Linked DNA regions of Saccharomyces cerevisiae S288C. The protein of the gene in region 3 interacts with the protein of the main gene of each other region in a pairwise test. Each region holds a gene or a part of one and is shown on either strand. Other genes may lie near its edges.

What was found.
Region 1: the proteins of BCK2 (region 3) and KSS1 interact in binary tests that used the Saccharomyces cerevisiae proteins (3 or more experiments, as listed by UniProt).
Region 2: the proteins of BCK2 (region 3) and KIN2 interact in binary tests that used the Saccharomyces cerevisiae proteins (3 or more experiments, as listed by UniProt).
Region 4: the proteins of BCK2 (region 3) and TPD3 interact in a two-hybrid assay, tested with the Saccharomyces cerevisiae proteins (one study listed by BioGRID).

The regions. Positions count from the first base shown.
Region 1 is NC_001139.9:571,158-578,322, reverse strand, and holds KSS1 (mitogen-activated serine/threonine-protein kinase KSS1), read right to left. Parts: upstream 2,926-7,165; coding exon 1,819-2,925; downstream 1-1,818. Other genes in the region: BUD9 (Bud9p), read right to left, coding at 1-836; YGR039W (uncharacterized protein), read right to left, coding at 3,124-3,435. UniProt on the Saccharomyces cerevisiae protein: Together with closely related FUS3, KSS1 is the final kinase in the signal transduction cascade regulating activation/repression of the mating and filamentation pathways, induced by pheromone and nitrogen/carbon limitation, respectively.
Region 2 is NC_001144.5:329,270-338,703, forward strand, and holds KIN2 (serine/threonine protein kinase KIN2), read left to right. Parts: upstream 1-3,320; coding exon 3,321-6,764; downstream 6,765-9,434. Other genes in the region: IOC2 (Ioc2p), read right to left, coding at 408-2,846; SCF ubiquitin ligase complex subunit HRT3, read right to left, coding at 6,962-7,996; CHA4 (Cha4p), read right to left, coding at 8,258-9,434.
Region 3 is NC_001137.3:512,819-521,330, forward strand, and holds BCK2 (Bck2p), read left to right. Parts: upstream 1-5,397; coding exon 5,398-7,953; downstream 7,954-8,512. Other genes in the region: aminophospholipid-translocating P4-type ATPase DNF1, read left to right, coding at 1-4,641; CCA1 (tRNA adenylyltransferase), read right to left, coding at 8,211-8,512. UniProt on the Saccharomyces cerevisiae protein: Dosage dependent suppressor of PKC1 deletion and MPK1 deletion. Involved in cell lysis.
Region 4 is NC_001133.9:121,157-129,089, forward strand, and holds TPD3 (protein phosphatase 2A structural subunit TPD3), read left to right. Parts: upstream 1-3,722; coding exon 3,723-5,630; downstream 5,631-7,933. Other genes in the region: serine/threonine protein kinase PSK1, read left to right, coding at 1-3,139; bifunctional N-glycosylase/AP lyase NTG1, read right to left, coding at 5,747-6,946; SYN8 (syntaxin), read right to left, coding at 7,096-7,863. UniProt on the Saccharomyces cerevisiae protein: Phosphatase 2A affects a variety of biological processes in the cell such as transcription, cell cycle progression and cellular morphogenesis, and provides an initial identification of critical substrates for this phosphatase.

The DNA.
Region 1 (7,165 bases), on a different chromosome or scaffold from region 3:
GGAATTTGAAATTCATGTGGGATAAACGCTTTATCGGGAAAAGTACCATTTAGCGTGCTGTTAGGAACTCTGCTTTTTGCTACATCAACAGCCCCTTCCACAGGAGAAACAAGATCTACACCATACCGCATAGAAGGAAATGAGTATGTACCTTGTGTTTGCCTTGTAGACTTATTTCCGGAGACGGTAGCCCTTGGTCCCTGGTACGGCGCAGTTCCTTCGGGTGGTGGATAGAATAAAGAAGAAGGTCTGGTTCCCAGTTTCTCGAAGGATTTCATTGAAGATGATTCCATATGATCTCCTCTGGTCGTCCCAGCGTGCTTTTCTGCCGAACCCATATTCAACAGCACCGAAGTAGAGATGGTACCGCTGCTGCTGTGTCCATTTAGGTTAGTTTCAGCGGAAGACCCGTTTGAGGAATTTCTGTTCCTCTCATTTGAATTTGGCGGAGGTAAAGGGAATGCTGCTACTTCTGGATCTCGTCGTACTAAATCTAAAATTGAATCCTCTAGATCTCTATGTGATTCCTGATGGAAATTGTCATCTCTAGCATCTTCAAAGACTTGTTTACCATCAGTACTACTTGAATTTGTATCTCCTTTGAGGATTTCACTATACTTGCTATCATCAATATAAACATTGTATGACTTCACTTCTGATGATGGAAATGAATCAGATCCTTCGATGAACAGCGAACCAGATCTTATTCTTGCTCGCGGTTGATGGAATATTGGGTGGTCGTTCTCAGGTAAAGATGCGGATGAAGCCGTTGCCGATCCAGATGTGGATTTTGAATTTTCTGTCGTTATCGAAACATCTCTGGTTATTTTCGTCATTTCATAGGATGAAGAATGAAATTGTTGTAAAAAAAAAGGTAGTGAACGTATAAAGTTGGATGCTGTCTTCGAAAAAAAAAATAAGGTGTTAAATGAGTGGATGGTTTGGTATGCCTAAGCAAAAAGCTTTAGAAATCAAATTGAAAAATAAAATCGAGGGGAAGCTGGAGATAAAAGTAAGGCAAATGTCAGATAAATAGTTGCAAGGTGAGAGTGTACTATAATCTTTAGTAGTTGTTGTATGGTGATCCTTCGTCACCGTTAAGAAATGGAGGACAATTAAATGGAATACTCTGGGACGTTACAAGGAATAATAGTATGCTAGAATGAAAAAAATAATGGAGTCCTTCTACGTGTCAATGTACGTATGTGGCAATTAAGATAAAACTTTATAACTATACCTTAACTATTCTTGCATATATAATAATGCGAGATAAAAAATCACCAACTTTCTCCCTTTTAGAGAAATTAGCTTTTAGACTACCTTGGCTGGGTATTAGTTGTGAATATTTGGTAAATATGGTCAACTAGAAAACGAATGCGAACATCTAGCCAGGAATAAACAAACCCAGTAAACAAAACTTCTACTTAATACTTAAGAATAGAAAGCACAATGCCAAGACTTACTTGGGAGCCCATTCACTGTTGAATAGTGCTGGATAAAAGGTGTTGATATCGCCTCTTTGATTACAGTCGCGTCAGCTCTCCAAGCACACGCGATGGCTGGTTTTTCTCTGCATTTCCCGTTTAGGCAAAGCAGTGAAGAGGCTCATGAAGCCGCATTTCGTGTACTTCTGCTGGCGAAAAAAAAAAACTTGTTGCCGTGGCGCCATTTCGTTCCTTGCATTTTTCCATTGGCATGCATCGTGCATATGTGAGTTGAAGTTTCTTACTTACATATTGACCTACAGACCACAACGTGTCACTGCTAAGCTGAATATAGGGAAATTTTAGAAGTATGGCAGAAATGTTCTTGTGAATACTATTCCATGGTCTTCATTAGTTCATCGTAAAGCATGTCTTTGAGCATTTCTATGGGCACTTCTTCCTCCTCTTCCGGACGCATTATCTTGTTATCCAGTTTCCAAAATTCATCATCCAAATTAAGTGGAGGATATTCCGGCTCATCACTTGGGTCATGGTACATTGCCAGGTAAGGGTGTCTTAAAGCTTCTGCTGCGCTTATTCTTTTGTCAGGATTGAATTGAAGCATTTTGTCTAGTAAATCTATCATATCTGGATTCAGATCGGTCTTTGACCAGACGGTCTCCCATGGCAAGGGTGGCCTCATAGGTAAGTTTGCTATATACTCTTTAGCCCTCTTGGATTTGATCTGATTAAAGTCTTCGAAAGATGGAGTTCCCAAGACTTCTAGAATTAGCCATAATTGATGATGATAGTCTCTGCCTGGGAACAAAGGCTTCCCGGAGACCATTTCAGCCAAAATGCATCCGCATGACCATATATCCATCGCAGTTGTGTACTCTTGAAAAGTTAGCATTATCTCGGGTGCCCTGTACCATCGCGTTGCGACGTACTCCGTCATGAATCCTACCAATGTTTCTCTTGAATCGCTACTGCTAGCTAAACACCTCGCTAGTCCAAAATCGCAGACTTTGAGATCACAATTGGAATTTAGTAACAGGTTTGATGGCTTTATGTCTCTATGGATAACTTGTGCACTGTGAATAGACTTTAAGGCTCTGAGGATTTGGTATGTAAAGTATTGAACATGGTCATCACTTAAAGTGGAAAACCCGCTATTCTGATTATTAATTACTTTTTGTAAATCGGTTTCCATCAACTCTTCGACTAAATAAACAGCGTTTAGTTTGTCTATGGATACTGGCCTTACTTTATCCAATATACTTATTATGTTTTCGTGTTCATGGAAATACCGTAAAAGCTTGATCTCACGTATAGTTCTTGTAACAAACAATTTTTTGCTAAACGGTTGTATTTTCTTGATAGCTACCTTTATGCCGGAAGGCTTATGAATTGCTGAACATACTGTTCCGTACGCTCCCTCACCTATTAAATCTACGAGTTTATATTGGGAAGGGATATCAAAAGTTATGGTTCTAGCCATCTTTGAATTGTTGAAAGAAAAGTGAAGAAAAGATACTTTTTTGTTGAAATAACCTTTTCTATCTTTAAAAGATGCTTTCTTTAAATTGCCAAATTTTTAGTCGGCTTTTGATCTGATCCAGTGGAAAAGAGGAAAAGAAAAAAAAATACGAAAACAGTTCGGGAAATTTAACGACTGCAAAGCACAATATGTAACTGTTCAAGTCTGGCTTCTGGTCAGATAAAGTGCAATATCTACAGATTGGAAGTACTTTGGGTGTCTTAATAAAAATACATTATATATAGAAATATGCCTCGATCTGTAAATTTCTAACAGCTTCACAGCGCGTTTTGAATGTGAAAAAATCAGGAATGTGGAGGAAAGATGTTCAAAAAGTTCGAATTTGAAGAGCATACTGCTCAAACGGTTGAGGAATTCAAGGTAATCTGAGGCTTCATACATAATAAGTAGCCAATCTTTCTTTCCCCCAAGTAAGTAGCTCAGTATTACTAAGCCGGTAAAAAATAACATCTTTCATTTCTTTCACCAAGGGGAAATAGTAATATACTCATATTTTGGCTGGACTCTCGTAATCTGTCAAATTTTTTTCGTGCCGATTTCTAACTTAAATTTAGTAAATAATGTTAGTATTTACTTTTCAATTGTAGATCTACCTAGTTTCAAGATTATGTAGAAAAGAATGACAAAACATAAATACTGTTGGAATAAAAATCAACTATCATCTACTAACTAGTATTTACGTTACTAGTATATTATCATATACGGTGTTAGAAGATGACGCAAATGATGAAAAATAGTCATCTAAATTAGTGGAAGCTGAAACGCAAGGATTGATAATGTAATAGGATCAATGAATATTAACATATAAAATGATGATAATAATATTTATAGAATTGTGTAGAATTGCAGATTCCCTTTTATGGATTCCTAAATCCTCGAGGAGAACTTCTAGTATATCTACATACCTAATATTATCGCCTTATAAAAAATGGAATCCCAACAATTACATCAAAATCCACATTCTCTTCATGGTAGCGCCTATGCTTCGGTTACTTCTAAGGAAGTCCCATAAAATCAAGATCCGTTAGCCGTTTCAGCTTCCAATTTACCGGAATTTGATAGAGATTCCACTAAGGTTAATTCTCAACAAGAGACAACACCTGGGACATCAGCTGTTCCAGAGAACCATCATCATGTCTCTCCTCAACCTGCTTCAGTACCACCTCCACAGAATGGACAGTACCAACAGCACGGCATGATGACCCCAAACAAAGCTATGGCCTCTAACTGGGCACATTACCAACAACCATCTATGATGACGTGTTCACATTATCAAACGTCACCTGCGTATTATCAACCGGACCCACACTATCCGTTGCCACAGTATATCCCACCACTGAGTACTTCCTCACCTGATCCAATCGATTTAAAAAATCAACACTCTGAAATACCTCAAGCTAAGACAAAGGTGGGAAATAACGTCTTACCACCACACACTTTAACATCAGAAGAAAACTTTTCTACATGGGTTAAATTTTACATCAGATTTTTGAAGAACTCTAATCTCGGTGACATCATTCCAAATGACCAGGGTGAAATCAAAAGACAAATGACTTATGAAGAACATGCGTATATATACAATACCTTCCAAGCATTTGCCCCATTTCATTTATTGCCAACATGGGTAAAACAAATTTTAGAAATTAATTATGCTGACATCCTTACAGTCCTTTGTAAAAGTGTGTCCAAAATGCAAACTAACAATCAAGAATTAAAGGATTGGATAGCTCTTGCCAACCTTGAGTACGACGGAAGTACATCTGCTGATACATTTGAAATTACAGTCAGTACGATCATTCAGAGGCTAAAAGAAAACAATATCAATGTTAGCGACAGATTGGCCTGTCAACTAATACTTAAAGGTCTATCCGGTGACTTCAAATACCTACGTAATCAATATCGTACCAAAACGAACATGAAACTTTCCCAATTATTCGCTGAAATTCAATTAATATATGACGAAAATAAAATCATGAATCTAAATAAACCGTCCCAATACAAACAACACAGCGAATACAAAAATGTTTCTCGCACATCTCCAAACACGACTAACACAAAGGTTACAACTCGTAATTATCATAGAACAAATAGTTCAAAACCAAGAGCAGCAAAAGCTCACAATATTGCTACATCTAGTAAATTCTCAAGGGTGAACAATGATCACATTAATGAATCAACCGTTTCATCACAATACTTAAGCGATGACGACGAACTTAGTCTTAGGCCAGCAACAGAAAGAATCTAAGCCAACACACACAATAGACTCGAATGACGAACTACCTGATCACCTTCTTATTGATTCAGGAGCTTCGCAAACGCTTGTCAGATCAGCCCATTATTTACACCATGCAACACCCAATTCTGAAATAAACATAGTCGATGCTCAAAAACAAGACATTCCTATAAATGCCATTGGTAATCTTCACTTCAACTTTCAGAACGGCACCAAAACATCAATAAAAGCACTACACACACCAAACATAGCCTATGATCTATTAAGTTTGAGTGAGCTGGCTAATCAAAATATTACTGCCTGCTTTACCAGAAACACTTTAGAAAGATCGGATGGTACAGTACTAGCTCCCATAGTCAAACATGGAGACTTTTACTGGTTATCTAAAAAATACCTAATTCCTTCGCACATTTCAAAGCTAACAATAAACAACGTCAACAAAAGCAAAAGCGTAAATAAATATCCATATCCGTTAATACATCGAATGCTTGGACATGCTAACTTCCGAAGTATTCAGAAGTCTCTTAAGAAGAATGCAGTTACATATTTGAAGGAATCGGATATTGAATGGTCTAACGCTAGCACATATCAATGTCCTGACTGTCTAATCGGCAAAAGCACGAAACATAGACATGTCAAAGGATCACGACTAAAGTACCAAGAATCATATGAGCCTTTTCAGTACTTGCACACCGATATATTTGGTCCTGTACATCACTTACCGAAAAGTGCACCTTCTTACTTTATATCGTTTACAGATGAGAAAACCAGATTCCAATGGGTGTACCCATTACACGACCGTCGTGAAGAATCTATCCTCAATGTTTTTACATCGATATTAGCATTTATTAAGAACCAATTCAATGCTCGCGTTCTAGTTATCCAGATGGATCGTGGCTCCGAGTACACTAACAAAACTCTTCATAAGTTCTTTACGAACAGAGGTATTACTGCATGCTATACAACCACGGCAGATTCTAGAGCACACGGTGTCGCTGAACGATTAAATCGTACTTTATTAAACGATTGTCGCACACTGCTTCATTGCAGTGGTCTACCAAATCATCTATGGTTCTCAGCAGTCGAATTTTCTACTATAATCAGAAATTCATTAGTCTCACCAAAAAAACGATAAATCTGCAAGACAACATGCAGGTTTAGCTGGACTGGACATTACTACTATACTACCTTTCGGTCAACCGGTTATAGTTAACAACCATAATCCCGACTCGAAAATACATCCTCGTGGCATTCCAGGTTACGCCTTACATCCGTCACGAAACTCTTATGGCTATATTATCTATCTTCCATCATTAAAAAAGACAGTAGATACTACCAATTACGTTATATTACAAAACAAGCAAACGAAATTGGACCAGTTCGACTACGATACACTCACTTTTGATGATGATCTCAATCGTTTAACAGCCCATAACCAATCTTTTATTGAACAAAATGAAACAGAGCAGTCATATGATCAAAATACAGAATCTGATCATGACTATCAATCGGAGATTGAAATAAACTCTGATCCTCTAGTGAACGACTTCTCGTCCCAATCAATAAACCCTTTACAATTAGACAAGGAACCAGTCCAAAAAGTACGTGCACCAAAAGAAGTTGATGCCGACATATCTGAATACAATATTCTTCCATCTACTATACGATCTCGTACACCCCATATCATTAATAAAGAGAGTACCGAAATGGGTGGTACCGTTGAATCAGATACTACTTCACCTAGACACTCGTCTACCTTCACTGCACGAAACCAAAACCGACCTGGTAGTACCAATGAGATGATTGATTTGACCTCACAGGATAGAGTTAATTATGGACTTGAAAACATCAAAACTACACGTTTGGGTGGTACGGAGGAACCATATATTCAACGAAATAGTGATACAAATATCAAATACAGGACTACAAATAGTACGCCCTCAATAG
Region 2 (9,434 bases), on a different chromosome or scaffold from region 3:
TATGTTCGTGTCTATCCAAAGAAACAAGTAATTGAGAAAACTAGCCATCAAATACTTGTGAAGAAGCGAGTTTCCATTCTCTGTTTCACTCGTTTGGCGTTCTCACCATCCCACTTTTATTTCATTGGCTTTTTTAACACAATAAGGCGCCTTCAGCACCTTTGCCGCGCATTAAGGATGGCCACTGACGAAAAACCGGATAAAAAAAGACGAAAAAATGCCGTCTGACCCTAGTCAGGAGCCGCCTCATACACCCTAATTATTTTGGCGCTAAGCCCTAAGCATCATTATTACCCGACATGAAGCGACAGAAGCCCTACGGATGTGCGGCTGGAAAAGAAAGTTTCATGAAGAACCAGTTGATATATATTTTACTATATACTTTTGCTGTGTATTTCTATATGAGGCTAGTTGGTTGGTGGGAACTGGAAGTGAAAGTTCTGTTCTTTAGGGTGCAGCGGTTGCTGTTGCTGTTGCTGTTGCTGTTGCTGCTGTGGTTGGATTGATGCTTGTGATGTTTGTGGTGCCTGTGGTGCTTGTGGTACAGTTTTGCTGCCAGTTTGCTGCGAGTATGTAATTATGGGGTGAGCGGCATTTACATTAGGTGCTGGATTGATGGCTGGATTTGTTTTTTCGTAAGCGGCGATACTAGGCGTTGTGCTACTTGACATGTTTGCAAATGCATTATTAAACACTGGAGGTGAGACAGACTCGGTTAGTTCCCTTTTCTTTGCAAGCTCTTCGAGCCTTTTCTTTTCTTCCTTCATTTTTTTTCTTCTTTCACGGTCTTCCTGTTGTTTTCTTTGTTTGGCCCTTATTATTTTCAATTCAGGCACAAAAATGTTGCGCAGCTCAAGTTCCAAGTCCCTGATGCACCAAGCGCAGATAAAAGTGGAGCATTCAGACAGCGGTTTGCGTTTATCAGTAGGTCTTGAAGACTTGGTGCTGGGTTCAAGTGTGGATTGGGGTCTGCGAGAAGACCTTCTATTGCCGTGCGAATTTCCCATTATGATGACGCCAAAATCACGTTGCGACAGCGTGTGCTGTGGGGATTTTGTGGTTGAAGATATAAGCTCTATAATTTTTGGAGGTTGGCATTCCCAATGCTGCCACCTGTAACAATGATCACAGCATATCAATGGGCGGTTATTGAAGAGGTCAGTCTCCGTGTCTTCGGTGATAATCATGGGCGCCAGCTCTGGTTCGCCCGGACATTGGAAAACAGAATCTTGGTTGTCGGGCTCTTGCTGCGGAGTAAAGATCCCGTAGTTGGCAAGCTCATCTAGCTCTTCCTTTGTTATGCAGAAGTCACTAGGCAATTCAGGGACGTCTCCCGTCTGTAGTGGCCCAACAGTTCCAGGAATTGGTGGTTCCACCGGGATTATACTAGATTGAAAGTTAGGGCCGTGATCAAGAACTCCGATATCGATTTCATTTAAGGGATTGTCCTCCTCCCTGCCCAAAGACGTTTCAAAAAACGGTGTACCAGAACCACTTCTATCTTTGAGCTCGTTACGCCTGGTCAATTTTTCATCTCTATAATCTTGATCGTACAATTGCCACAATTGGTTCCAAAGAAGATCTTTTATCTTTTTGATTTCCTTCGACACTAGCTTGTTTCTGTGCCTTATAAATTGTTCTCTTTCATCTAGTTTTTCAAACCACTCACTTTCCAAGTCTTTTTTCTTGTTTTCTTCCTCTTTCGCTACCAGTCTCGAAGATCTTTTCCTCCTTGTCATTAGCTCCGCAATTGCTCTCTCCTTTTCTCTGTTGGCCAAAAGTTTTGCCGAATATAGTCTATGTTCGGCATACACCGGTATTAAGTTAGTTATGAACTCATCTATGGCTTTCGAACTTTTATTCTCTGACCAGTATTCTAGCATGGACCCCCAATTAGTTGTAATCACATCATAATCAATTGTAATCGATTGAAGATATGCATCGATATCGTGAGAGTACTCGAGATGAATAAGCTCCACTGAATCAGGAATGTCTGGGTCGCTTTCTTTTATAGTACAGTTCTGTAGTTTTATTGGGATATTCAGAGTTTGAGAGACTTGGGAGGAAGAGCCTTCTTTTACTCTGTGAATGGTTTTCTTTACGAGTACACCAACATTGGGTAAGGCAAACAAGCTCTTCATTTCCTCCCCTCCACTATTATCATCATCCAGTATAACTTCACTAAACGTAAACAGATGCAAGTTATTCGCTAAGTAGTTTTTGAAGATCATATTTTTCATTTCAATTAATTTTATGATACTGTAAATGATGTCGAATTGGCGTGCAATTTCAAGCTCCAAAAAAGGTAAGTCCGTAACCAAATCTGAATACGCGCTCGAGTTTTGCAAGTGATGGTTAACTATAACATTCCAATCTTTCAATTGCCCGCTTTTATTTCCCGCTAATTGATGCAATAATTGCAATCTAATTCTGTCGTACAAATTTTGCGATCCTTCATCTACGTCGACTTCATCATTGTAATAGTTCGAGTCCTTCCCGTCTATCTTCGAAAATACGTCAGTTACAAATACACCTTCATCGAATTTGATATTCTTCCACAAGCATTTGGTAGAGCTACCGCCATACTGGTCAGTATTAAATGTCGTTGTAGTATATGATTCGCAGACATTGGAAAGCCAAGCCATCACATACTGGAAGTGCCAGTGATTGGCCAAGTCCGCGATCTTCTCATCTAATATTTCAGAATACGGCAGCTGGTGCTTGTTCAATTGGGCTATTATGTCTTCGGAGACATATTCTTTCCAGTCTTCACTATCCGCATTCGCAGCGCCGGCAGGCATGCTCGCTCCTACATTTCTTGTACCCCTAGTTCTCTTCGTTCTCATCGATCGCTGATTCACCGCTTTGTATCTATATATGATTAGCCAGTGTGTATGAGTAAAATAGAGCAATTGATCTAGTTTCTTAGTCGTGTCACTATTGAATAAATAAATGTTAATGTTGCTGGAAAGGAAGAATTATGTCACTTTTGACGCTCTCGCATTCCGTGTGCGGTGATAGCGGTAACTTGGTCTAGCAACGAAAATTTAAAAAGGTTGGAAAAGGAAAAGAAGAGCTCAAGTGGACCTAGAAGTCCTGCTTTGCCACCGTTTAAGCAAGGAATAGAGCACGCCGTTGACACAAATTCACAGTCAAGGACGGGCCACGAGAACTTTATTACAAAATATACTGCATTACACGAAATTCAGCGGAACTCTGAGCGCGAACAGCATTAGGTACCGAGAAACGCTTTTCAAAAGAAATTTCTAAAAGTTTTATTGTGCCATTAATATCGCGGCTCAATTGTTAAGTATTTCACTATGCCTAATCCGAATACAGCAGATTACTTGGTGAATCCAAATTTCAGGACCAGTAAGGGCGGATCTTTATCGCCGACGCCAGAAGCTTTCAACGACACGCGAGTTGCTGCACCAGCCACTCTTCGCATGATGGGCAAGCAATCTGGACCAAGAAATGACCAGCAACAAGCACCACTGATGCCTCCTGCAGATATCAAACAGGGCAAGGAACAGGCAGCTCAGAGACAAAATGATGCATCGAGGCCTAATGGCGCCGTGGAATTAAGGCAATTTCATAGAAGATCTTTGGGAGATTGGGAGTTCCTTGAAACGGTTGGCGCAGGCTCTATGGGTAAAGTTAAATTGGTCAAGCATCGTCAAACAAAGGAAATTTGTGTAATAAAGATTGTTAATAGGGCTTCCAAGGCTTATCTCCATAAACAGCACTCTTTACCTTCCCCAAAGAATGAGAGTGAGATATTAGAAAGACAAAAGCGGTTAGAAAAAGAAATTGCGAGGGATAAAAGGACTGTTAGGGAAGCCTCTTTGGGCCAAATCCTTTACCATCCTCATATCTGTCGTTTATTTGAAATGTGCACTATGTCAAACCATTTTTATATGCTTTTTGAATACGTTTCCGGTGGACAGCTGTTAGATTATATTATTCAGCATGGCTCATTAAAGGAACACCATGCGAGGAAATTTGCCAGAGGTATAGCTAGTGCGCTGCAATACTTACATGCCAATAATATTGTTCATCGAGATCTGAAAATTGAGAATATAATGATATCTAGTTCAGGTGAAATTAAGATCATTGATTTTGGTCTTTCCAACATTTTTGATTATAGGAAACAATTACATACGTTTTGTGGTTCCTTGTACTTTGCAGCACCAGAACTATTAAAAGCGCAGCCATACACAGGACCTGAGGTAGATATTTGGTCGTTTGGTATTGTTCTTTATGTCTTGGTCTGCGGTAAAGTACCATTTGATGATGAGAACTCAAGCATTTTACATGAAAAAATAAAAAAAGGTAAAGTAGACTATCCTTCACACTTATCCATTGAAGTTATATCTTTATTAACCAGGATGATTGTTGTCGACCCATTAAGAAGAGCAACATTAAAGAATGTCGTTGAGCATCCATGGATGAACAGAGGATACGATTTTAAGGCTCCATCATATGTTCCTAATCGTGTTCCATTAACCCCTGAAATGATAGATAGCCAAGTTCTGAAGGAAATGTATCGCCTAGAATTTATTGACGATATTGAAGATACAAGAAGATCATTGATCCGATTAGTAACTGAAAAGGAATACATCCAACTTTCCCAAGAATACTGGGACAAATTATCCAACGCCAAGGGGTTGAGTTCAAGTTTAAATAATAACTACCTAAATTCAACGGCACAACAAACCTTAATACAAAATCATATTACAAGTAATCCATCGCAAAGTGGTTATAATGAACCAGATAGTAATTTTGAAGATCCTACTTTAGCATATCATCCATTACTATCAATATATCACTTGGTTTCAGAAATGGTTGCACGGAAATTAGCGAAGTTGCAAAGAAGGCAAGCATTGGCCCTGCAAGCGCAAGCTCAGCAAAGGCAACAACAGCAACAAGTAGCACTTGGCACTAAGGTCGCCTTAAATAATAACTCCCCGGATATTATGACCAAAATGAGGAGCCCTCAGAAAGAAGTAGTACCTAATCCTGGTATTTTTCAAGTGCCGGCAATTGGAACATCGGGAACCTCAAACAACACTAATACCTCAAACAAACCTCCACTGCATGTAATGGTTCCTCCTAAACTAACAATACCGGAACAAGCGCATACTTCTCCAACATCTAGGAAGAGTTCCGACATTCATACGGAATTAAATGGTGTTTTGAAATCAACACCAGTCCCCGTGTCTGGCGAATATCAGCAACGTTCTGCTTCACCCGTAGTAGGTGAACATCAGGAAAAGAATACAATAGGCGGCATATTCAGAAGAATATCACAAAGTGGACAATCTCAGCATCCCACACGGCAACAGGAACCTCTTCCAGAAAGAGAACCTCCAACATATATGTCAAAATCAAATGAAATTTCCATCAAAGTACCGAAAAGCCATAGTCGTACTATATCAGATTATATTCCTAGCGCTAGAAGATATCCATCTTACGTGCCAAATTCTGTTGATGTAAAACAGAAACCCGCTAAAAACACTACCATAGCACCTCCTATAAGGTCAGTATCACAAAAGCAAAACAGTGATCTTCCAGCTTTACCTCAGAACGCCGAACTAATTGTTCAAAAACAACGGCAAAAACTATTACAGGAAAATCTCGACAAATTACAAATTAATGATAATGATAACAACAATGTGAACGCTGTAGTCGATGGTATCAATAATGATAATAGTGACCATTATCTCTCCGTTCCGAAGGGTCGTAAGTTACATCCTAGTGCAAGGGCTAAATCGGTGGGGCATGCTCGTCGTGAATCTTTGAAATTTACTAGGCCGCCTATACCAGCAGCCCTTCCGCCATCAGATATGACAAACGATAACGGCTTTTTGGGAGAGGCAAACAAGGAGAGATACAATCCTGTTAGCAGTAACTTTTCGACCGTTCCTGAAGATTCTACCACATACAGTAACGATACTAACAATAGACTGACTTCGGTGTATTCTCAGGAGCTTACTGAGAAGCAAATTTTGGAGGAAGCTTCAAAGGCACCCCCCGGGTCTATGCCATCAATTGATTATCCAAAGTCAATGTTTTTGAAGGGTTTTTTCTCTGTACAAACAACCTCCTCTAAACCATTGCCTATTGTTCGTCACAATATCATATCTGTTTTAACAAGAATGAATATTGATTTCAAAGAAGTGAAAGGCGGGTTCATATGTGTCCAACAAAGGCCATCTATTGAGACTGCAGCTGTCCCTGTTATAACCACTACTGGCGTGGGTTTGGATTCCGGAAAGGCGATGGATCTGCAAAATAGTTTAGACAGTCAATTATCATCCAGTTACCATAGTACAGCGTCCTCAGCATCAAGAAATAGTTCGATAAAACGCCAAGGTTCTTATAAGAGGGGCCAGAATAATATACCACTAACACCTTTAGCGACCAATACACATCAAAGAAATTCATCTATCCCAATGTCTCCAAACTACGGAAACCAAAGTAATGGTACATCAGGGGAACTATCTTCCATGTCATTAGATTATGTTCAACAACAGGATGATATTTTAACAACATCAAGAGCCCAAAATATAAATAACGTAAATGGTCAAACAGAGCAAACCAATACTTCTGGTATAAAAGAAAGGCCTCCTATTAAATTTGAGATTCACATTGTAAAGGTTCGTATCGTCGGCCTAGCAGGTGTACATTTCAAAAAGGTTTCTGGTAATACGTGGCTATATAAAGAATTGGCATCGTATATTTTAAAAGAATTAAACCTATAGATACGTTGTTCTTACTAAATATTTCAACGTGTGTCTTTCAATTTTTATTATCTAATATTTATCTTTTTTTAATATTATAGTATAATTTATTTAAGCTGAGATCTGCTTTCTTTAATCTTTCATATGATGAAATAATAGTTCTACATAAATCTATAAGAATAATAAATAAAGTAAAACAACTGCAAAAAACATCGATGTCATCCAGGATCCTTGAAAGATTTCACTCTGGAGAAGAAAAAAGATTTCTCATTTCTCAACGAACAGTTAGATGCATTCCCTTCCTTATCCACTACAATTGAACTTAGCCATTTCAACCGTTGATATCTCTTATTGCCTTGATTCTTGATTTGGAATTCTTCGATAAACGTATACTTTTCATCTGACCTTGTTATCTTTAAATGACCAAAATCATAATCAAATCCGAGGCTCCAATAACACATATGACTATGCCTGGGTTTGTTCTCTTTGGAGAAGTGCTTCACGACAGCGCTAGGTTCATCTGTAGAAAGTAATCTCAAACATTGGCCGTTCTCATAAAATCTGAAATACCTGTAATAGGTGATCATGTGAACTGGCTTTAAAAGAGATAACGAACTTTCTGCATTGGAACCGTATCTTACATAATTTACTACACTGATGTAAACACCTTCGAATTTAATATATGGCCTTTCCCTTAACATACGATAATCATCACCCCGCCATATTTCCTTTTCAAAGGTATTTATATCGGTGATTCCGTTAAGATCCATTGCCATTTTGTCGTATATTTGCTTAGAATATATGTACTTCGCGAAAGTTTTAAATGGCACAGAATCGTGGAAGCAAAGCTTGCTAAAGGTGGAACAAGTCATCGACAAATTCACCCAAGATTCACCAGACATTAATATAACTTTTTTAATAATTCTCAGTAAAATGTCGTCAGGCAAGATTTCCAGAATCCAGCAGGGTTGAAGTTCAGCATTTTCTTCAACAGATAAGTCATCTTTACCGGTTTCATTTTGTTCATCTGGAGCATCAGTAGTCATTGATAATCCCGATAGTTTTTTGTGCAGCATCCACTCATCAAGTATTTTTTTTCTGTACAGTGATTCCACATTATCATGGATTTTCAATGCACTTCGATAGAAGTTTATAGCATCTGACATTGACCCATCCTTCTCTTTCAGTACACCTTTTTCCCAAATAGCAATAGCCTCTTTAGCCCTAGGGTCCTTTTCATAATCTACTATCATTTGCTCCTTGAGTTTAGCTTATGGAACACATGTGTCGTCGCCAAAGATGATGGGGAATGTTTGCTTTTATCTTGCTCAGTCGATTTCGCTATCTAGGAACTACAATCCTTTTTTTTGTCATTTGGAAGGCTCTTTAAAATTCCGAATCGATAAGTTCGGAGGTGGGAAAGGATAGCGGTATATTCCTTCCCAAATAAAAAGGCTACAAACACATTACATAAAGAATATTTGTTCAAGTAAACATATCCTCTTCACTCAAGATTACTTCGACAAACCATCATTGGTGTTTCCACCAATCAGCATATCAATCTCATTCAATAAAGTAAAGTCAAAATTGTACTCTAAGGCAAAATCGTTACCGTGAGATAGAGTCCCTAATAAATCCATAGTTTCTGAATTATGCAAAGCATCTTCAGAGTTTTCTATGAATTTTCTAGCAAGTTCGTAATTCAGGGTAGGCGCACTTAAAAAATTTAAGAAGTCTTGTTTTCTATCCTTTTTAATCAAGTTGGACTTCATGCATTGGATGGCTAAAATCGCAGAATAAATCATGTAAATTGTGGCCTTCTCAAACGTCTTAAATTTATTTTTCCAAACTTTTAAAAGATAATACAGTTCATCAACATAACCTTCAACCAATTCCCGGCTTTGTTTGATTTCGTATATGAAAGGTTTATTATAGGAAATTAGCACGATATAGTAATGAAACCATACGTAAGCTATGGTTGGGTTAAAATCTGTCATTTCCATCAATGACCTCTTGGTCCATTGTAGTTCAGGGGGCAAATCCCTTCTCCAATTGTATACCTCCAGATTAAATTTGGCCAAGTATTCACTCCTTTGAAGTAGAGTTTCGTTTGGGCTGAAAATCTTGGATGCAAAAATCTCCGTTATTCTCGATAACACAATCAGTTTCTTCAAGGGGTTTGCAGTGGACAATATTACTTTTGGGTCATATATGTACTCCTCTATACCAGTCTCAATTTCAGGTAGCTCGTCTGTTTCTGGAACAGTGGAATTGGACAAACGCAAGGAAGTTGATCTTCCAAAGAGGATCGCTATTAAATGATCAGCAATGTAGCAGCCCCAATAAATTCTACTTCTCACTTCAAAATCCATTATTGACAGCTCGTCTTCATAAACATTACTCCATGCTTCTGGATTCAAATGTAGGCCGATTTCGTGGGCAATCCTAAATGCCAGCCCAGAAAGATACCAAGCCATGGGGTTTTCTCCGCTTCCAATGTCATAAAATGCCAAACACAATAGAGTCTGGATGATTGCTAATTTCGAAGAGGACGACGATTCAGCTAACGAAGAATCTTCCAGTTGAAAAATTTTTTTGAGTACTATCGTCTTGGCTCTTTGATAAAACACTTCAGATTGTTGAAAAAGCTCAGTTTCTGATTTGTATGAAATCAAAGATCCCAATGCAGCG
Region 3 (8,512 bases):
AGCAGTAATGAAGATACACATATTGCACCTACCCATTTTGATGATGGTGCAACAAGCAACAAATACAGCCGGCCACAGGTCAGCTTCAATGATGAAACACCCAAAAATAAACGTGAAGATGCAGAAGAATTCACATTTAACGATGACACAGAATATGACAATCATTCCTTTCAGCCAACACCGAAACTTAATAATGGATCTGGGACGTTTGATGATGTGGAATTAGACAATGATAGTGGTGAACCGCACACTAACTACGATGGTATGAAAAGATTCCGGATGGGTACAAAAAGGAATAAAAAAGGAAACCCAATAATGGGAAGATCTAAGACCTTGAAATGGGCTAGGAAGAACATTCCAAACCCATTTGAAGACTTTACGAAGGATGATATTGACCCTGGTGCCATAAATCGTGCGCAAGAACTAAGGACTGTGTATTACAATATGCCCTTACCAAAAGATATGATAGATGAAGAAGGCAACCCCATTATGCAGTATCCTCGTAATAAAATCAGAACTACCAAATATACCCCGTTAACATTCTTACCAAAAAACATTCTATTTCAGTTTCATAATTTCGCCAACGTTTATTTCTTAGTTTTAATAATTTTAGGTGCATTTCAAATTTTTGGTGTCACGAACCCTGGTTTAAGTGCGGTTCCGTTAGTTGTCATTGTTATAATCACTGCGATCAAGGATGCTATTGAAGACTCAAGAAGAACCGTCCTAGATTTAGAGGTGAATAATACCAAGACACATATTTTAGAAGGTGTTGAGAACGAAAATGTCTCAACCGATAATATTTCATTGTGGAGAAGGTTTAAGAAAGCAAACTCTAGACTCCTTTTCAAGTTTATACAATATTGTAAAGAACATTTAACTGAAGAGGGCAAAAAGAAGAGAATGCAGAGAAAGCGTCATGAACTAAGAGTACAAAAAACTGTTGGAACGAGTGGACCCAGATCCTCTCTAGACTCCATTGACAGTTACAGAGTATCTGCAGATTATGGCCGTCCTTCATTGGATTATGATAATTTGGAACAAGGGGCCGGTGAAGCCAATATAGTTGATAGATCCCTACCACCCAGAACTGATTGTAAATTTGCCAAGAATTATTGGAAAGGTGTCAAGGTTGGTGATATTGTTCGTATCCATAACAATGATGAAATCCCTGCTGACATTATCTTACTTTCAACGTCGGATACAGATGGTGCCTGCTACGTAGAAACTAAAAATTTGGATGGTGAAACAAACTTAAAGGTACGCCAATCCTTGAAGTGTACCAATACTATAAGAACGTCAAAAGATATTGCTAGAACAAAATTCTGGATCGAAAGTGAAGGGCCCCACTCAAATTTGTACACTTATCAAGGTAATATGAAATGGAGAAATCTTGCAGATGGCGAGATACGAAATGAGCCAATTACTATTAATAACGTTCTGCTTCGTGGTTGCACTCTTAGAAATACTAAGTGGGCAATGGGTGTTGTAATGTTTACCGGTGGTGACACAAAAATCATGTTAAACTCTGGCATTACACCCACCAAGAAGTCCAGGATTTCAAGAGAACTAAACTTCTCTGTGGTGATAAATTTCGTGCTACTTTTCATCTTATGTTTTGTTTCTGGTATTGCAAATGGTGTATATTACGACAAAAAAGGCAGATCACGGTTTTCCTATGAATTTGGAACAATTGCTGGGTCAGCGGCGACAAACGGTTTCGTCTCATTTTGGGTTGCTGTTATTCTTTACCAATCTTTAGTCCCAATCTCTTTGTACATTTCTGTGGAGATCATCAAAACTGCACAAGCGGCCTTCATTTACGGAGACGTTTTACTCTACAATGCCAAATTGGATTATCCTTGTACACCAAAATCCTGGAATATTTCTGACGATTTAGGTCAAGTGGAATATATATTTTCTGATAAAACAGGTACATTAACTCAAAATGTAATGGAGTTTAAAAAATGTACTATCAATGGTGTTTCATATGGAAGAGCTTACACCGAAGCGTTAGCGGGATTAAGAAAAAGACAAGGTATCGACGTCGAAACCGAAGGTAGGCGTGAGAAGGCCGAAATTGCCAAGGATAGGGATACAATGATCGATGAACTGAGAGCTTTATCAGGAAATTCACAATTTTATCCCGAAGAAGTTACCTTTGTATCAAAGGAGTTCGTTCGCGATTTGAAAGGGGCTAGTGGTGAAGTACAACAAAGATGCTGTGAGCACTTTATGTTAGCATTAGCTTTATGTCACTCCGTCCTTGTAGAAGCAAACCCGGACAATCCAAAAAAACTGGATTTAAAAGCTCAATCTCCAGACGAAGCAGCGTTAGTAGCCACAGCTAGAGATGTAGGATTCAGTTTTGTTGGAAAAACCAAAAAAGGGTTGATAATTGAAATGCAAGGTATTCAAAAAGAATTTGAGATTCTAAATATTTTGGAGTTTAATTCATCGAGAAAAAGAATGTCCTGTATTGTCAAAATTCCGGGTCTGAACCCAGGGGACGAGCCTAGAGCACTTTTAATTTGTAAAGGTGCAGATTCCATTATATACTCAAGATTAAGTCGCCAGAGTGGTAGCAATAGTGAAGCTATTTTGGAAAAAACTGCTTTGCATTTAGAGCAGTACGCTACTGAAGGTTTAAGAACGTTATGCATAGCTCAAAGGGAGTTAAGTTGGTCTGAATACGAAAAATGGAACGAAAAGTACGATATTGCTGCTGCATCATTAGCAAACAGAGAGGATGAATTAGAAGTTGTTGCAGATTCCATTGAACGCGAATTGATATTATTGGGCGGTACAGCTATCGAAGATCGTTTACAAGATGGTGTTCCGGATTGTATAGAGTTGCTTGCAGAGGCAGGAATTAAATTATGGGTTCTTACGGGTGATAAAGTTGAAACAGCTATAAACATTGGATTTTCTTGCAACCTTTTGAATAATGAAATGGAATTGTTAGTTATTAAAACAACTGGTGATGACGTGAAAGAATTCGGATCAGAACCAAGTGAAATTGTGGATGCTTTACTCTCCAAATACTTGAAGGAGTATTTCAACTTAACCGGTTCAGAAGAAGAGATTTTTGAAGCTAAAAAGGATCACGAATTTCCGAAGGGTAATTACGCCATCGTTATCGATGGTGATGCTTTGAAATTGGCGCTATATGGTGAAGATATAAGAAGAAAGTTTCTTTTACTCTGCAAGAATTGTAGAGCTGTCTTATGCTGTAGAGTATCTCCATCTCAAAAAGCAGCCGTTGTTAAGTTAGTCAAGGATTCTCTAGATGTCATGACACTAGCCATCGGCGATGGTTCCAACGACGTCGCCATGATTCAATCTGCGGATGTTGGTATTGGTATTGCCGGTGAAGAAGGTCGACAAGCTGTTATGTGCTCAGACTACGCCATTGGACAATTCAGATATTTGGCTAGATTGGTCCTCGTTCACGGTAGGTGGTCTTATAAGAGACTGGCAGAAATGATTCCTGAGTTTTTTTACAAAAACATGATTTTTGCTTTGGCATTGTTCTGGTATGGTATCTATAATGATTTTGATGGGTCTTACCTGTATGAATACACATACATGATGTTCTATAATTTGGCATTTACATCCCTACCAGTCATCTTCTTAGGTATTCTGGACCAGGACGTGAATGACACAATATCATTAGTGGTCCCTCAGTTATACCGTGTTGGAATTTTAAGGAAAGAATGGAACCAAAGAAAGTTCTTATGGTATATGTTGGACGGATTATATCAGTCTATTATCTGTTTTTTTTTCCCTTACTTGGTTTATCACAAAAATATGATAGTTACGAGCAATGGGTTAGGATTGGATCATCGTTATTTTGTCGGTGTTTATGTGACCACTATTGCTGTAATTTCGTGTAACACATATGTTTTATTACACCAATATAGATGGGATTGGTTTAGTGGATTATTCATTGCACTGTCTTGCCTCGTAGTTTTTGCATGGACGGGAATATGGTCTTCTGCGATAGCTAGTAGAGAATTTTTCAAAGCTGCAGCGCGTATCTATGGAGCACCTTCATTTTGGGCTGTTTTCTTTGTTGCCGTGCTGTTCTGCTTACTGCCCCGTTTCACATATGACAGTTTTCAAAAATTTTTCTACCCAACTGATGTGGAAATAGTAAGAGAGATGTGGCAACATGGCCATTTCGATCATTATCCTCCTGGTTACGATCCAACAGATCCCAACAGACCCAAGGTCACAAAAGCTGGGCAACACGGAGAGAAGATTATAGAAGGCATAGCACTTTCCGACAACTTAGGAGGATCGAACTATTCAAGGGATAGTGTTGTCACAGAGGAGATTCCAATGACTTTCATGCACGGTGAAGATGGAAGTCCTAGCGGATATCAGAAGCAAGAAACCTGGATGACTTCACCCAAGGAAACACAAGATCTTCTTCAATCGCCCCAATTTCAGCAGGCCCAAACGTTCGGAAGAGGCCCATCAACCAACGTCAGGTCATCCTTGGACCGCACAAGAGAACAGATGATCGCCACTAACCAACTAGATAACCGCTACTCTGTGGAAAGAGCGAGAACATCTCTAGATCTACCAGGCGTAACTAACGCAGCCTCCTTAATCGGAACACAACAGAACAATTAATAATGATATCCGAACCATAGCTGATGGAACTCCGCTTTTCACTGTATATATAATATTACATAATATTACTGGATAAGCCTTAGAAGCCTTAGAAGCCTTAGAAGCCTTGGAATTCATGCATACTACAGCGTTAACTCTTTCTTTTAGCAAGTTTTAGTAGCGGACGTGTGGGTTTCTTTGTTCTATAATTAACACTCCCGGTTAACCCGGATCGCTATTATTCAAGGACGCACAATGGTGGGCTAATTTTTTCTTCCGATGGAAAACTGACGCCAGCACTTTCCAGCGCTGGGAACTCTCCACTAACTGGCAAAAAAATTGATTAAGGTCATGATCAAAGGAATTTTTGAAATGTTGTAAAGTAGAGTTAAGAATTAATCAAGCCGTGATACGTATGTTTTTGACTAGGTGAGAGACTATATTTATCAAAAATAGTTTTTTATACTAACAGAAAGTTTATTATATCATAGAAATCCTAGGCCTATTGTTATTATTTGCGTGAAAAAAGGTTCATGCCTAGTTATTCAGGATATTAATCAGGCATAGTCATAGTTTTGTAATACACGTCTTTCACTCCTATTTCCGGTTAACATTCGCTAATATCCATCAAATTATTGACTTTTTTTTCAGTGGATTTGTTGTTAATAAAGGAAACAATCAGATCAGCCATTTAGGGAAGTCTTTTAAGAAAGCTCAGAAGGAGATCTAAGACAAGAAGCAAGGCAGTCTTGATTTATCGCTCAAAACCAATAGCACATGCCGAAGAATAGTCACCACCATCGTTCCAGTTCGGTTAATTCCACAAAGAGTCGTTCTACGGAATCTACGAATAAATGGAAAATTCCGCACTATTATCGCAGATCCGCTAGCGGCAGCACACAAGCTTCGCCGGACAGGAACTCCTCAACAGGCTCATGTAGCACTCCAGTATTACCTACTATGAATGTTATGTCTAGCCCGAAAAAAGTTTTGCTAGAGGATCCCAGAGACAACCATACTAAGGCGAAGAAGAGTAGTAGAAAGAAATCAGGTGAAATGGTCTTCGTCAATTATACTGTACAGGACACGGCTAACGAAAATGATACTGACTTGCAAACCCAGCCGGTTTCTGTGCCAGCACCAAAGGCGAAATTAAAGAAGAAATCCTCCAAAAGGAGAATGCTGAAGATATTTGGATCGTCAAAGAACGAACACATAGAGGACATCGTTGAAGAGCAACCAATGGTGCTTCAAATGGATTCAGAATCTAAACCCCTTTCGGGAACCCCTATCTCAGAAAGCGGAATCGACGCCTCGTCACTAACAACCAAAAGATCTTATAACTCGTTCTTAAAACACAATAGGCTAAACGGTAAAACTCCGTTCTCTGGAAACTTGTCCTTTCCATCATTAAACATGATGGGTAACACTACTGATCTGCCTATTGACAATAACGATTTTTGTTCCGAGAAAGAAGTCGTTCCGAAATCAACTCATGATCCTTCACTAGCAAAACCGCCATCAAGGTTCACTGAAAGCGAAACAAATTCTACTCCCAACTTATCAAGTATACCTCTCATGAACACAAAAAATACAAGATTGAAGTACAATAAAGTGGCGCCTCAGAGTTCAGACCGACAAAAGTCACAGGAAAGTGGGCTATATCATTCTACCGAATCATTCAACTTCAAAGATCAAAACTACAGTAACAATAAATCCTCTTTAAGTCTGAACTCCGATTTAAGTACACCCCACTTTGCAAAGCATTCACCTGATTCACCAAGAACTTCAAGATCTTTCAACTGCGGAGACTCACAAAGTAAAGTTAAATTACCGGAAGAAAATGACGCTTCTATTGCATTTAGTAAGATGTTTACTAGAAAACGAGCCAACACTGGCGGGTCCACGTGTTCGCTAGCCTCACCCACTATTGCACAAACTATTCAGCAATCAAATATAAAAGTTAATAAATTGCCAACTCAGCGAACCACTTCAGTTGGCTCATTATCATCCATGTCAAATCGTTATTCACCAATAAGAGTTGCATCGCCAGGAAGAGCAAGATCCGCAACTCGTGGGTCTTCCCTTTATAGATTATCCAGAGACCTTAATTCTTTACCAAGCGTCACTGATCTACCAGAAATGGATAGTACAACCCCAGTTAACGAAATATTCTTGGATGGCCAACCACAGCATAAAAGTGGCAGTGTCAAAGGAGGGCATAGGAAGAAACAAGAATCTATCTCTGATGCTCAAAGAATTCAACATTCTAATTCGTACATTACAACACCTTCATCTTCTCTGGTGACTCCTCCTTACTACATGACAGGTTACACATTACCAAGTTCTGCATCTGCTTCTTCAACTCCAAATGTGCTTGAAACACACAATATGAACTTTGTTCCAAGTACCAGTACTGTTACAAGTTATCGCCCATCTAGCAATTTTTCCTCATTTGACAAAGAATACAGTAACGAAAACGACGCTAGTGGGGAATTCTCTGCTTTCAATACTCCAATGGAGAATATACCGGCACTAAAAGGTATACCTAGATCCACGTTAGAAGAAAATGAAGAAGAGGATGTCCTAGTACAAGATATTCCGAATACGGCACACTTCCAAAGAAGGGATATTATGGGGATGGATACTCACAGAAAGGATGACAGTTTAGATTTTAACTCTTTGATGCCACACGGTAGTACAACTAGTAGCAGCATCGTAGATTCTGTTATGACGAACTCAATATCCACTACAACAAGCAACGCGACCGGAAACTACTTTCAAGATCAAGATAAGTATACATTGGTAAATACGGGATTGGGATTGAGTGATGCAAACCTCGATCATTTTATTAGATCTCAATGGAAACACGCTTCTCGATCAGAATCCAATAATAATACCGGAAATCGCGTTTCTTACAGTGGCTCAACACCAAACAATGTTGATACAACAAAGACTAATTTGCAAGTGTATACCGAGTTCGATTTTGAAAACCCAGAGTCGTTTTTCCATGAGCAATCGAAGCTACTAGGTGAGATGGGCCACAGCAATAACAACAGCAACAGCGCCATCAACATGAATGAACCCAAGTCTGCGGATACATACATTGGAAATATATCTCCGGATACTTCAGCAACTGTTTCATTAGGCGACCTGATGGGCTCAAACGTTTCAAACAACAGTGAAAGAAATTTTTACGATGGTCATACTTTCGTTCCACAGTATCAGGCGAACTCATCTGTGGAAAACTCAAATAATCAAAATGCAGCACCAATTGCAAATAACGACATTGATAATAATTTACAGTCTTTTTATTTTGATAATAGCAACTAAAAAAGGAATGAAAAAAAAAAAAAAAAGTTCAAAAATAGTAACAGATATCTTTCGAAAAAGTTAAAAACTGGTAAAAAATTTTGAATAGAGTATATAAAAACTAATAAATATGTTTAGTTATCATACACCATAGAATAACTACTAGAGATATTATTTCATTTTCGTTTTCATTTTTTTTATTTTTTTCTTTTCAATAAGGTAACAGAAAGTTATTTATGCATTCTTGTTCTACATGTCTTATGTATACTAATAAGCTACTACAGGTATTTTGGTAGTATGGCTTTTAAATGAGTTATTAATTCTTGATCAGTCCCTGTAGGATTATCAAACTGCCACCTAATCGCTTCGTTATTAATTTTACCCAGCCATGGACCTGGCTTCATTTGAAGTAGTTTTGCCATTTGTTTTCCGTCCACTATTGGTTTTAGTTCATGACAATTATTCAAATTATTGTCAAATATGTAAGAATAAAATTCATTGTAATTTTGGAAAAGTAATTCAATTTTTTTAGTTTCAAGCTTGGGAATCTTTAAAAATGCATCTGATAGAGATGCAAAAT
Region 4 (7,933 bases), on a different chromosome or scaffold from region 3:
GAGGGCATATCAGGAAGATGAAACTTTTTTACCGCACCATGGACCCTCTATGGATCTATTGAATGAACAAAGAGCGAACTTGAAAAGTCTTCTGAATTTATTAAACGAAACACTGGAGAAAAATACTTCCGAGAGAGCTTCGGATCTTCATATGATATCGTTGTTCAATTTGAATAAACTAATGCTTGGAGATCCCAAGAAAAATAATTCAGAACGCGATAAAAGAACTGAAAAGCTTAAAAAGATTTTGCTGGATAGTCTTGCAGAACCATTCTTTGAGCACTATAATTTTATTGGAGATAATCCGATCGCAGATACAGATGAACTAAAGGAGGAAATTGATGAATTTACAGGTTCTGGAGATACGACAGCGATAACAGATATACGGCCCCAACAGGACTATGGCCGCATATTGAGGACATTCACTTCTACCAAAAATTCCGCCCCACAGGCAATTTTTACATGTAGTCAGGAAGACCCTTGGCAATTCAGAGCTGCGAATGATCTAGCGTGCTTAGTATTCGGTATCTCACAGAATGCCATTCGCGCTTTAACCTTGATGGATTTAATTCACACCGATAGCAGAAATTTTGTTTTACACAAATTACTTTCTACGGAGGGTCAAGAAATGGTTTTCACAGGCGAAATCATTGGTATAGTTCAACCAGAAACACTCAGCTCATCCAAAGTAGTATGGGCATCGTTTTGGGCAAAAAGGAAAAACGGCTTATTAGTTTGTGTTTTCGAAAAGGTTCCTTGCGATTATGTTGATGTACTTTTGAACCTGGATGATTTTGGGGCCGAGAATATTGTAGACAAATGTGAGTTATTATCAGATGGACCCACATTGTCTTCCTCTTCTACATTATCGCTACCTAAGATGGCTTCTTCACCAACTGGTAGTAAATTAGAGTATTCGTTGGAGAGGAAAATCCTGGAAAAGAGTTATACTAAGCCTACTTCAACAGAGAATCGCAACGGCGATGAAAACCAACTTGATGGAGATAGTCATTCTGAACCATCGCTGTCATCATCGCCAGTAAGGTCGAAGAAAAGTGTAAAGTTCGCAAATGATATTAAAGACGTCAAGAGTATAAGCCAATCGTTAGCCAAATTAATGGATGATGTGAGGAATGGGGTTGTATTTGATCCCGATGACGACCTTTTGCCTATGCCCATCAAAGTTTGCAACCACATTAATGAAACAAGATATTTTACTCTAAATCATCTATCTTATAATATCCCATGCGCGGTTTCCTCCACTGTGTTGGAGGATGAGCTGAAATTAAAGATTCACAGTTTACCTTACCAGGCGGGTTTGTTTATTGTGGATTCGCATACTTTAGATATTGTAAGTTCCAATAAATCTATTTTAAAAAACATGTTTGGTTATCATTTTGCTGAGCTGGTGGGAAAATCCATTACTGAAATAATTCCTTCTTTCCCAAAATTCCTCCAATTTATAAATGACAAATATCCTGCGTTGGATATCACACTCCATAAAAATAAAGGTTTGGTATTAACAGAACATTTTTTTAGGAAAATTCAGGCAGAGATTATGGGTGATCGTAAAAGCTTTTATACGTCGGTGGGTATTGATGGCCTTCATAGGGATGGCTGTGAAATCAAAATTGATTTCCAGCTGCGTGTCATGAATTCTAAAGTGATTTTGCTTTGGGTTACACATTCGAGAGACGTGGTATTTGAAGAATATAATACAAATCCATCTCAATTGAAGATGCTGAAGGAGAGTGAATTAAGTTTAATGAGCAGTGCAAGTAGTTCTGCCAGCTCTTCCAAAAAATCTTCGTCTAGGATATCCACCGGGACATTAAAGGACATGAGTAATCTGTCAACATATGAGGATTTGGCCCACCGAACGAATAAGCTTAAGTATGAAATCGGAGATGATTCTAGAGCACATTCTCAATCTACTTTGTCCGAGCAGGAACAAGTTCCCCTGGAAAACGATAAGGACAGTGGCGAGATGATGCTTGCAGACCCCGAAATGAAGCACAAGTTAGAATTGGCCAGAATTTACTCAAGAGATAAATCTCAATTTGTGAAAGAAGGAAATTTTAAAGTTGACGAAAATTTGATTATTAGCAAAATTTCACTTTCCCCAAGCACTGAATCCTTAGCAGATTCTAAAAGTTCTGGGAAAGGGCTTTCTCCACTTGAAGAGGAAAAGCTAATTGACGAAAACGCTACAGAAAACGGATTAGCGGGATCACCTAAAGACGAAGACGGAATCATAATGACTAACAAGCGAGGAAACCAACCTGTTAGTACTTTCCTACGCACCCCCGAAAAGAACATCGGTGCTCAAAAGCATGTTAAGAAGTTTTCGGACTTCGTAAGTCTGCAAAAAATGGGTGAAGGTGCATATGGTAAGGTCAACCTATGTATTCATAAGAAGAATAGGTATATTGTGGTGATTAAGATGATTTTTAAAGAAAGAATCCTTGTAGATACATGGGTTAGAGATAGGAAATTAGGCACTATACCTTCTGAGATCCAAATTATGGCCACGTTGAACAAAAAACCACATGAGAATATTTTACGGTTACTGGATTTTTTTGAAGACGACGATTACTATTATATCGAAACTCCCGTACATGGTGAAACAGGATGTATAGATCTTTTCGATCTAATTGAATTTAAAACCAACATGACCGAATTTGAAGCAAAATTGATATTCAAGCAGGTTGTAGCGGGAATAAAACATCTACACGACCAGGGTATTGTTCACAGAGATATCAAGGATGAGAATGTTATCGTAGATTCTAAAGGCTTTGTTAAGATTATTGATTTTGGATCTGCTGCGTATGTCAAAAGCGGACCATTTGATGTTTTTGTTGGGACAATAGATTATGCTGCCCCTGAAGTCTTAGGAGGAAACCCTTATGAGGGCCAACCACAGGATATTTGGGCTATTGGTATTCTATTGTATACGGTGGTCTTCAAAGAAAACCCCTTCTACAATATAGATGAAATATTAGAAGGCGACCTGAAATTCAATAATGCAGAGGAAGTTAGTGAAGATTGCATTGAGTTAATCAAGAGTATTTTGAACCGTTGCGTACCGAAGAGACCCACCATTGACGACATAAATAACGACAAATGGTTGGTTATTTGAAGGATTAATGATCATTCTAGGACATTAGTAATTGGAAAAGAAAATGCAAAAAAATATCCAGTAGAAACAATGCTTGGTATGTCGTTCTTCTTACTTTCTTCAGTAATGAGTTGGTAGTTTTCTCTATTTAAATATGAATAAATCAATATGTACTTTCTTTCTTTAATCAAAATGTTAATATGATAAAAATACAGCATCCAAAGCAGTTAATCAAGACTTAAATATAAAAAATTTACATATTTAGAAAACAAAGATAGGGTAAATATTGAAATTACATAGTAAACCATACCTTAAAAGCAGAAATACTGATACCACATGAACTATTGATCAATACTACTGCTATTCTCTTCCTAATGCAAAGAGCTTATTACCATTATTAAATCACTACAGACGATAATACCCGGAATGCCCTTTTTGCAGGGAAAGCGAAAAAGGTGAAAGAGTTAACAGGAGAAAGTGTTAGGGAACTAAGTTACGAAGGAAGGCAGATAGCAACAATACTAACGTGGAACTTATTTCGACGACTATAACAACTGGTATCTGATTATCGAAGAATAATTGAGTGGTCAGAAAGGAGCGAAATATGTCTGGAGCAAGATCAACAACGGCAGGTGCCGTGCCCTCGGCAGCAACAACATCAACAACATCAACAACGTCAAACTCTAAGGACTCAGACTCTAACGAGTCATTATATCCCTTGGCTCTGCTTATGGATGAGTTAAAACATGATGATATTGCTAATAGGGTAGAAGCCATGAAAAAACTAGATACCATCGCGTTGGCACTCGGTCCCGAAAGAACAAGAAACGAGTTGATTCCCTTTTTAACGGAAGTTGCACAAGATGATGAAGATGAGGTGTTTGCCGTTTTAGCCGAACAGTTAGGAAAATTTGTCCCCTACATTGGCGGTCCTCAATACGCCACAATCCTATTACCAGTTTTGGAAATTTTGGCATCTGCAGAAGAAACTTTGGTTAGAGAAAAGGCCGTAGATTCTCTGAATAACGTGGCCCAAGAACTTTCTCAAGAACAATTATTTAGTGACTTCGTCCCTTTAATTGAACATTTAGCTACTGCAGATTGGTTTTCTTCAAAAGTTTCTGCTTGTGGTCTTTTCAAGTCTGTTATTGTTAGAATCAAAGATGATTCATTGAGAAAGAATATCCTGGCTTTATACTTACAACTCGCTCAAGATGATACTCCAATGGTGAAAAGGGCCGTCGGTAAAAACCTGCCCATCTTGATCGATCTGTTGACTCAAAATTTGGGATTATCTACAGACGAAGATTGGGATTACATTTCTAACATTTTCCAGAAAATCATTAACGATAATCAAGATTCTGTCAAGTTTCTGGCAGTTGATTGTTTAATTTCCATCTTGAAATTTTTTAACGCTAAAGGTGATGAGTCTCACACTCAAGATTTATTGAACTCTGCTGTCAAATTAATTGGTGACGAAGCGTGGAGGGTACGTTACATGGCTGCCGATAGATTTTCAGATTTAGCCTCGCAATTCAGTTCCAACCAAGCATATATCGATGAATTAGTACAACCATTTTTGAACCTTTGTGAGGACAACGAGGGAGATGTTAGGGAAGCTGTGGCTAAACAAGTTTCTGGGTTTGCCAAGTTCCTAAATGATCCTTCAATTATATTGAATAAGATCTTACCTGCTGTGCAGAATTTGAGTATGGACGAAAGTGAAACAGTGAGATCTGCTTTGGCTTCTAAGATTACAAATATTGTATTACTGTTGAATAAAGATCAAGTCATTAACAATTTTCTTCCGATTTTACTGAATATGCTAAGAGATGAGTTCCCTGACGTTCGTTTAAATATCATTGCCAGCTTGAAGGTTGTCAATGACGTAATAGGAATTGAGCTGCTATCAGACTCTTTGTTACCTGCCATAACAGAATTAGCCAAGGACGTGAATTGGAGAGTTAGAATGGCTATAATTGAGTACATACCTATCTTGGCAGAACAATTAGGTATGCAATTTTTTGACCAACAGTTAAGCGATTTATGTCTTTCATGGTTGTGGGATACTGTTTATTCTATCAGAGAAGCCGCAGTGAATAATTTAAAAAGGTTAACGGAAATATTTGGCTCTGATTGGTGTCGTGATGAAATTATTTCAAGACTGCTCAAATTTGATCTACAATTACTGGAAAATTTTGTCTCGAGGTTCACAATACTCTCTGCTCTAACCACTTTGGTGCCCGTGGTATCGTTAGATGTCGTTACTGAGCAACTATTACCATTCATTTCTCACTTGGCTGATGACGGTGTTCCAAATATTAGGTTTAATGTGGCCAAATCCTACGCTGTGATAGTGAAGGTTTTAATTAAGGACGAGGCCAAATATGATGCATTAATTAAGAACACAATTTTACCCTCATTGCAAACGCTGTGTCAAGACGAAGATGTTGATGTAAAATACTTCGCTAAGAAAAGTTTGGCAGAATGTCAAGAACTTTTAAAAAATTGATACTAGTTCAAATATATACATACATACACATATGTACACTTGAATGAATAAAAAGTATACATATTAACAACTAGGCCTGCTTTCTTTTCTTTTCTTTTTTTTTTTTTTTACCACACTTAGTCCTCTACTTTAACAGAAATATCATTTTCCAGTTTGACCATAGTTTCTTCAACTGTTTTCTCCTCGTGTTTAACATTGATTTCCGCCTCCACGTTCAGTTCACGTTTTCCTTCCAGGTATTTCACCCACTTTGGATAACTCATGATATTTTGCTGGATTTCCTTGTACAATTGAGACTGCAAATCCCAATCTAAGGAGCTTCTGGGATCATCCGGTGGCAAGAATTGTAACATGTCACCAAGGTTCCTCGATTTAGTGATTATTTGTCCAAATCCAACCAGCAACCCATTTATTTCTGTCCAAAGCCCCTTAGGCAGCCAATTTTGTAATTGAGTTCTTGTCTGATCTGGAGTCTTGCATTTCTGCGCATCTACCCATTTCCAAAGCTTGGTCAATCTATCCACGTGAACGTCAACGCAGATACCTTCAATCTTGCCCCATGCCTTTTGTAATGTTAGATAAGCCATTTTGGGCCCTACACCGGGCAGGCCCAATAGCTCATTAATCGTAGCTGGAACATCACTCGAAAACTGATCTTGAAGGATTTTGCAGGTTGACAAAATATACTTGGCCTTCCTTGTGTGGAACCCAACTGAATGAATCAATTCGTCTAATTTGGTCTCATTGATTTGTAAAACGGCCTCTAATGTCATACCTTCTTCGCTGTGCAGTTCGTCTATACAATACCGCATTATGTTAAGCATTGCCATTGCGGTAACTTCATCTTTTGTTTGCGATGATAGCATCACCCCAAGAAGGACCTGTAATCTGTAGTCCCTCGGTGATATCTGCTCTTTCGAGATACCACACTTAGAGGCAACCGTTACAGGAATGGATGATCCACCAATTATATCGACGGGGGCTAGAATCTTAGATCTCAGTACTCGCATTCTAGCGTATGTTTCTTGAAACTTGTAAGGGACTTTCGTCGAGGCCGGAGTGACAAGGATCGAGGGGTCCAATGGTGTGGCCCACCTGTTGGGCACATTGCCGTTTCTAACCACAATCCATTCGAAGTACTGCTTATTTGGCAGCGATTTAACCCAGTCGATATCCACGGGTTGAGGGACAACCTCTTCTTGTTTGATTTTGGTCCTTTTCTCCGGTAGGAGTTCTGATTCTGGCCCAGTTTCAGTCTTTACCAGCGGTCTTTTCCTCAGAATTGCCATAGATGAGTATTTACTGATCTTTTGCATATTTTTTTTTTTTTTGGGCTATAAAGTATATATAGATACAAATATATGATGAATCATTAAAGAGGAGGTTATTACTAAGTGAAAGAAAAAGAAAAAAAAAAAGATCAAAACCAAACTTCGTATTCGAGCCTAAAAAACAGAATATAATGTTATAATACTAATAGAAGCAACAGGAGCACCACTATCAGCACAAGAATAATCACGCAGTTGCCGTTATCCTTGAACCTAGAATTGTTAAAGCCATGCATGGACCGAGAGGCCCTGTTCAAATTCCTACCATTATTATCAATCAGGTTTTCTAAATCAACCAGCAGCGAGTCGTTCTGAGAAACGATCTCATTATTAAGGTCCAGCGAAATGTCATGAGTCCTCCCAATAGACTGAGACAGTGCGCCCAAGTGGGAATCTTGCTCTAACAACTGCTGTTGCTGGTTAATAAATAGTTCTTGGTTGGAAACCATGGGTTGTGGTGGCTGTGGCTGTGACTGTGACTGTAACTGCGATTGCAATGGTTCATCCTTGTATGGAGTATGCGTCGAAGGCAGCGGCGACTCCTCGTCTTGTTCATCGTCATCCTTATACATGACCGTAAGCTCGTCATCATTCTTGAACCGCACTTTTTTCAAAGACTCTTTGGACACCTCATCAGTATTTCTTGCCACCTGCTGTTGGAACCTATACAACTCCTTGTCAACCGCCGTATCAGGAATTTTGTCCAGTATGGTATTGTATCGGGATATTAGTTCATCATTGGGCGCACACTTCTGCAATAACTCCAATATTGAGCCCAATTGCCGTTTCAAAGTAACGTTATCGTTTGAGGTCGGGGCGAGCTTCAACACCGACACTAGCCTTGTTCTTTCTTCGACCAGATCAGAGAGCTGGTCCAGTTCATAACCCAGCTTCAACACATCCATACCGTGTGTGCTTACGCATCTATTTGCTGTCGTGAGATCTGTCTCTATGCTTTATTCGTTTTCCATTGTA